2 linked regions of the Oryzias latipes genome follow. The protein of the gene in region 1 interacts with the protein of each later gene in a pairwise test. Links are inferred from orthologs where the notes say so. Each region holds a gene or a part of one and is shown on either strand. Other genes may lie near its edges.

What was found.
Region 2: the proteins of rab2a (region 1) and tbc1d25 interact in binary tests that used the Homo sapiens proteins (3 or more experiments, as listed by UniProt). The link is inferred for Oryzias latipes from reciprocal best matches to the Homo sapiens genes RAB2A and TBC1D25.

The regions. Positions count from the first base shown.
Region 1 is NC_019875.2:20,930,647-20,934,398, reverse strand, and holds the start of rab2a (ras-related protein Rab-2A), read right to left. Parts: upstream 2,824-3,752; 5' UTR 2,651-2,823; coding exon 2,605-2,650; intron 1-2,604.
Region 2 is NC_019865.2:31,334,674-31,338,408, forward strand, and holds the start of tbc1d25 (TBC1 domain family member 25), read right to left. Parts: upstream 2,923-3,735; 5' UTR 2,771-2,922; coding exon 2,726-2,770; intron 1,787-2,725; coding exon 1,677-1,786; intron 1,582-1,676; coding exon 1,427-1,581; intron 1,302-1,426; coding exon 1,174-1,301; intron 546-1,173; coding exon 357-545; intron 80-356; coding exon 1-79. UniProt on the Homo sapiens protein: Acts as a GTPase-activating protein specific for RAB33B. Involved in the regulation of autophagosome maturation, the process in which autophagosomes fuse with endosomes and lysosomes.

The DNA of each region.
Region 1 (3,752 bases):
TTTCATAAACATATCTATCCAGAATTATAGTTTTCTTATGAAAGATGAGGTTAATTCTGTTCTTAAGGAATTAAATGAAAACGGACTCAGTGGGGATAAAAATGAAATACAATTTTTATCAAACTTCTGATATGAAAAATTAACAAGAGCCTAAACACTATCCCTTGATATTTACCTGTAACACCAATGATTTAAAGTTCATTTATGATGTCAAAAATGAACATAAAACAGATAAATTTCCATAAGATATGCTTCAGTGTGTAGTTTATACAGCCGAGGAGTACAAAGAAAACGATTTCTTTCTCAGGATGTCTGCATGCAGGACAGCACATTACATATAACCAAATTAGCATCCGCACAGAGAAATTAGTTTGTGATTTACAAGATACATTAAAGGTGATTACAAGTGGCCCAGTGAAAAGCATGGCTTTAATATTTATGTCAAAAATAGTCTCTTTACCTGTCAGCACAGAAAGAAGTGATACCAATAACAATTTATAATTATCATTAAAAAAGGAATGTGTAAAATCAAAATACTTTACCCCAAACTACCAAGACGATGTTCCTTCTGTCAATGCTGATACATTTCAAATTTTCAATTGTGATGATTTTTTTTCACTGTATATTAACGTCAATATTTTCGTCACTTTACCATCTATAATAAAGTAAAAAGTGTCAGAATTCACACACTACTCACTATGAATCTATGATTCCAAAATCCAGTGGCTTGGAAATTTCCAAGAAACCTCTGCAAAAAAACTAGTGTGCATGATGGTCACTGGATAGGCGAAAACAGGTAACAATACATTGCATTTGAACAATTTGTCATTTGAATGAATGCATTGTTTTTAAATAAATCATTAAGTTTTTATGATCAGAACACAATAGATTCATAAATAGTCTTTGTAGAATGTACATTTTTTAAGGTTTTTACTTTGACAAACGGGTGAGATCATATTTTAAGTTAAAAAAACAACAAAAAAACTACAAAAAGTAGTGATCATGGGTCCAAACTGAAGTGAAAAGTGAAATCAATGACACTGGATAGTCTTTTAAGAGGGAGAAGTGAGTGAATTCAGACAGAGAATGTTTTACCCAATTACTGCTGATGACCTGAGCAAAAGGAATTTTTTTCAAGCTAGTAACCCCTTTGTTGATGACGCAATTACTGTTATTTTTATTAAAACCACATGATTTGATTCATTATTACAATCTGCAGTTGGAACTGCAGTTTTATGTTCCTCCAAGCAATAATTATACAATTTTAAAGACCCAGTAAAGTAAAAATCCTTCACCAGAAGGTAACCATTAACCTTAAATTACCTGTTTAAACCAAAATGGATATACAAAGTTGCAGTTCAAGTTTTCTACGCTGGATCTTCATTATGAAATCTAGAACTGAGAGTTCTGGAGAATTTACACTCACATATTGTGGTTATCATTTCAAGATTTTGATGACTCTTAGCCCCGCTGATGTGAGCTGTGTGGTCTGTTTTTCTGAAAATACCCTCCGAATTGAGCTGGTATATTAGCCAGAGCTGTAAACAGCTTTGATAACTAGGAATAAATGATAACGAGCTAAACATGAACCTCTTAAATTAACAAATAAAAACATGAACCTCTTCTGCAAGAACCATGTAGTCCAGAAGAGAGAAGAAAGGATCTTTTCTACAATGTTTGGAGCTAGTTTATGATTTTAAAGTTTTATTTTTCGGTGTGTTTACCTTCAATTGCTGTCTAATTTTCATTCAGCCAACGTGGTATTTCTATCCGATTGAGCCATTAAAGATCAGACGTCCCCATCACATTCCTGAGAATCTGCTTATGTCAAACTAAAGATTCTAGATTTTCTTGTCACAGCAGTTCTTCTTCATATGCACCTGCTGCTCGTGTATTTGAACAGGCCCATCATCATCAATACAATCTGTCAAAAAAATAAGCGGATAACACTCGAAGACATTTGTGTAACCAAACCATAAATACGTTTACCAATAGAAAGCAGAAATCGAGTATAGTGGGGACATGTGAACCGCGAAAATAGATGTGGTCAAACTAAGAGTCAACAAGCTCTGTCTACGCCATTTGAAAAATTATTACGAGCTTTAGCTTCACGCTATCATGGCCCTGTCTAATATTAAGTTTAAATTATTCCAAAACTAGTAAAGATAATGTTTCAGAAACAAAAATAATTGAATGCTACGACTTATTTTTATGTATACTGACACGAAAAAACAGGCTAACTTGCTGTCGTGACAGCTGTTTGTAATCTTTTCTAGAGGTGTAGCCAGTTAGCATGCTAGTTAGCGGCTAACACCCCCACCCTCGACGCAAGCAGACAAAAGGCCCAACGTCTGCCGGTGTCAACAGCTACTACGGCACCGGGGTGAGGGGGGGAGCTAGTTACGGAACGACCGTTTTTATTTTTCTTATTTCTCTTTTTGGTTTTGGTTCGGATGTATTAAACGGGGGAGAAAATCGGAGCTGTCATCCCACCCCTTGCGTCTCTGCTTTTACCACGTCATTGGACTATCCAACACTGCGGAAATAGCCGCTAACTGAAAGATAGCCTACCGCTGAGTCTAGCTGGCACTTGATGCTACTTACCTGTGTCTCCGATGATGATGTATTTGAAGAGGTACGCGTACGCCATAGCACCTGCTTTGTACAGTCAGCTTTCTTAACCGTTACACCTTAGTAAAACGGGCCGTGAACCGTATCAAATGAGTAGCTGACAGCTTGTTTTTCTCTGTCGGTGCTCAGGAAGGAACAATAAACAGCTCGAGCTTCAGCTCGACGTCATACGCTCCGCCCTCGCCACGCTACACAATGATGCGTTCAAGGCATGCTCAGGAGTTTTGTCGTGTGTGTTCGTGTTTGTGATTTTTTTATATCTCGTTTTGTTAATATATTATTAAAATGCCCGTGATAAGTTTTGTGAAAGTTTCCTTCAACCTTTTTTTCACATTAAAGATTAATGCTACTGTTCTTCATAAGTAATTTTACAACAGATTTGTACACGAGTCCTGAATAGCATTAATACTTTCATTAAAACCTGCAGAGGTAAAACATGATGTAAAATGAACAATGTACAACAAACTGCAATTAACTTATATTATCAATTTAGGGTATAACAATGACTACTCATAATAGTATTTACTTTAGTAATGTGAAAGTCCTGAAAGCACAAAAGAATGAGCAACACCCAGCTTTGGTCAGTTAGTTTAATCCACAATTGTAGGCTGTGTATTTAGAGAAAAGGGAAAACAAGGACCAAACAGAAAACGTAGTGCCTGTGTGGCTCAGAAAAACTAAAAAAGAAAAAAATACAATAAAAAGAAGAAAAAGATACTTACAAATAACAGACTAAAACATCTATGTAAAAAAAAAAAGGAAAAAAACATGACTCCACGCAATTATAAGGAGAAAAAAAACGTGCTTGGGTCTATACAGGGTGAAGATAAAATCTATAAAACAAGTATTTGGTCGAAAAGAAATGTCCCCTCAGTATTTGTAAACCCTCAATGACAAAGTATTTCCTGGAAATATTCAACAGGCTTGCACTGTAGCGGCTATTTTGGTCCGTTCTTCCTTACAGATCTTCTCAAGAGCTGTGATGTTTTGGGGCTGTTGCTGTTTAAATTCCCTCCACAGATTCTCTATTTTGGATTGAGATCCAGAGGCTGGATAGACTACTCCAGAACCTTGATATGCTTTTTTTTTGTTGCCACTCCTTCATTGCTTGGACGATGTGT
Region 2 (3,735 bases), on another chromosome or scaffold:
TCTTCCTCTTCATGTAGTCCATTCTCTCTTGTCCAGTCAGCCCATCGGGGTAAACGTTCAGAAGGTACCGCCAAACCACCTGTCAGCAAACAGACGCCATTACTTCAATGATGGAAACCGGAGCTGCTGTGTTCTCAGAGACACATGCATCAGGGTTTTCTTCCTGGAAGTTTGGTCCGGAGCTACGAGGAGGTTCAGCTGTCCATAAATACTGAGAGGGGCTTCTCACTAAACCAGAACGCCACACACAGAGGGCAGAGCTTTAGAAATAACTGCAAGATGCATCCGCCTGCTTGGCAAAAAGCTTCATTTCTGTTCAGGAGTTAAAGCTGACAGGTAAAGCTCAGAAGGAAAACCTTGCGCAGAGAGGGCTCCACACCCCCGTGGTAGATCCGCAGCCGGAGCTCCTCTGGCCGGGTCAGCTGGCCCTGTCCGTTCAGGTAACTGTGAAACTCTGAGTCACTTAAGGGGGGCTTGAAAGGCTTGATCTCTTCCCCGTAGGACCAAGCGAAGGCCTGCTGGACCTTGGACAGGGTGCGTCCCACCTGAAAGCAGGTTAAACAGCATCACGGCGCTTTGAGTTGAAAGATTTGCTGGCTGCTAAATAGCAAGAAGAAAACACAGAAAGGCTGCATTTGCTCGGTTTCCAGTCCTAAAGTTACTTGTAGAAAATGAAAAATCAAACACAGGCAGCTCCTGAACCTGACCAACATCCTGGCAGTAAAAACAGAATTGTATGAGCTGCCCCCCCCCCCCCCCCCCCCCCCCCCGGCTGCTGCGTCTGTTTCCAGTGAGTGGGGTGGGGGGTTACAGCAGTAGTGAAAGAATTTGTCTAATTCTGGCATTCTTTATTTGTCTTACTTTTATAAATATATTTTTTCCCCCACAATATGCAGCCATACGGCACTTTGTTTTGTATATGTGGACATTTTTTATACGAAGGAATATCGACTTCAAAGACATGAGTAAATGTTTTTTATATATATATTATAGGTGTATATTTACGCTTTCACCTTGTTATTTTGTCCTGTTTTTTTCTCTTTTTACTGATTTTGAAAGTTGAAGAGTGACTAAAATCATGAACTGAAGTGTGATTTTTGTGAGGCATTGCACTCCCACCCCGTCCACGCGTTTGTGAACCGCTGTGAATAAAGAAAGGCGGGGGGGGGGGACCTGGGAGAGCAGAGACTGTGTGAAGGGAAGAGCTGCAGAAGCCAGAGATCTCGTTTTCTCTGCTAGAAGCTGTTCAGAGCCGATCACGTCTTTGGGGCTTATGATGTCCCAGTCCTCCATCACAGGACCTGCAATGACATGAAAAACAATGTTCATGAACGGTTTCTGCACGTGTCACACGTCCACTCTGCCTCACAGCTGGAGGAGCTTCTACTGCCAGCTGTTTGCATTAAAGAAGGGACGCTGTTCTTACTGTCCTCTGAGGGCTTCACATCCATCTTGAGCTCCAGAAACGGTTTGGCGGCACTGAGAAAGGCAACATCCAGATCCCAGTCAGACAGCAAGGACAGGTACATTTCAGCACTGCTGCGATCCCGACACAGGTAACTGATGTTAAAGTTCCGCCTCCTGGTTTCAGACACGGAAAAAAGGAAAAATGCCCATCAGTGTATCGTCATTCGCTAAGGGAAGCTCTGACAGGAAGAGAGGTGGACAGTTCTAACCCGTTCAGGTCGAAGGCCCGGATCAGGATGTGCTGCAGGACCTCCAGAGATGTGATCTGAGGATCCACAGCAAACGAGCGAAACTCCACAGGAAGAGCCCCGTCACACTTCTGAAAGAATCAAACCTCACTTCATCACTCTGTCTCATTTAAATCTGCAGTTTGAATCTTTCTTTTTTTTGACCGAGGCATTTTACTTAGTATCAACCTGCATTCATCTATGCAGGAAAAGGAGGTTCAGAGTAAATGAAATCCATCTCTGCCTCTTTTGTTGTTCCAGCAGTCAAAACTCCCACAAACGAACCAACAACCTAACATAAGTGGTGCATCGAAAACGGTGAGCAATATCAGATCCATCCATCCGAACAGTTCAGATCCAGATTCCAGCTCAGAGGAAAACAAAGACGAATATGGATCTATTTGTCTGACGGTGGATGATCAGAATAGAGCAGAGCAGGGAGCTCGTGGTCCACTCTGCTCCTGATTGACAGCGATTAGAATAAAGAAACGCATATTTAATGTTAAATGTTTTTATACATGTCTTCCATCATGAGAAAATACCACATGAACACACAGAAAAAAACATTTCCGTTGGAGGATTTAAACAAATGTTGATATCATTGGTTAAAGAAAGGCAAACCCTTGTTCTAGCTTCAATGAAAACTCCCAGAATGCCTTTCAGCACAACAACCGCTCTAGAGGAGACTTGGATTTTATGGACAGTATCAACATTCATTCATTTCGTGATCAGTTTATAAAAACGATGCTCCTGCTGGAACTCTGTACACCTGAGAAGCTGACAGACTGACCACCAGCCTAAAGCCCGCACCCGCGTCAACAACACGAGCGCGCCTGCCTTTCCAGGGTGACGTCAGCGCGCTCCTGTGAGGTACAGCTGGTTGATCAACAAGAGGACTGCATGAGTCGATCAACGCGAGCAGCCGATCGATCATCAGCGACCAGCAGCTTTCGGGACAAACAGCCTGAAAATGAACAAAAGGAGCAGCGGGTCTTTGTTTGTCCCCCGCGCCGGCCGCGCGCGCAGCTTACCCTGACTTTGACTCGAACCACCCCCCTCTCCTCCTCGCCTGCCATCTTAGGGGCTCCGTTTGCGAACAGGACGGATCCTCGGAGTTAGGATTTCCTCCCGCATCGAAACCACAATCACAACATAACGATGCTGACACCAACCGAGTTCCCGAGTTCGGGGGTTCTTCTTCTCCGGAGCTGACTGCCAACGCAGCACGGCGGCGCTCTACTGCCCCCTTCAGGCTGCAATCTGTCCTGCATCACAATGAAAAACAAGGACCGCTCAGGGTTTGTTTCATGGCCATAATAAAAAAAGGAGGCGTCATTTAACATTTTACATCAAATTTAAACAGTTAGAGATACTAAGAAGATTTAAAATGAACAAAGAACACATTGCATTTTTGCAAATCAGGGAGGGGGGGCACAGTTTTTCATTTATTTAGAATAGAATAGAATACAACAGAATAGAATATCTTTATTTCTATAGCACTTTTCCAAGAAAGAATTACAAAGGGCTTCCGAAAAAGACAGCATAAAATCAAACCTAAACACAGAGTCAATAAGAACAACAATTACAATAATTATAATAACATTCATTCATTCATTCAAAATGAATAATAATAAGATTAATAATAATAATAATAGGAGGTTAAAAGGTCAGAGTTGTATGATGTGGCTTTCCACACAACCCTCTGAAAACTCCAAGTAACTTTTTAAAATCAATTTGACACTTGATAGGCAGCCACTGTAAAGCAGACAAGAGAGTAGTTATGTGAGTCGGTTTACTGGTACTGGTTAAAAACCTTGCTGCAGAATTATGGACAATATCTGCAGGCTCAAACTCAGACATATGAGAGTTCAAGAAGTAGAATGATTAAGATGGAAAAACATTTAACTGAATTGGAGTAATATAACATTTAGTTAGATAAATATTTAAAGTTGTATAAACAATTGTTGAGTTGGATAGACGTAAAAAAATTAGGTTGAATAAATTTAACTCAATTAATTGTTACCAATGGAATCAATTAATT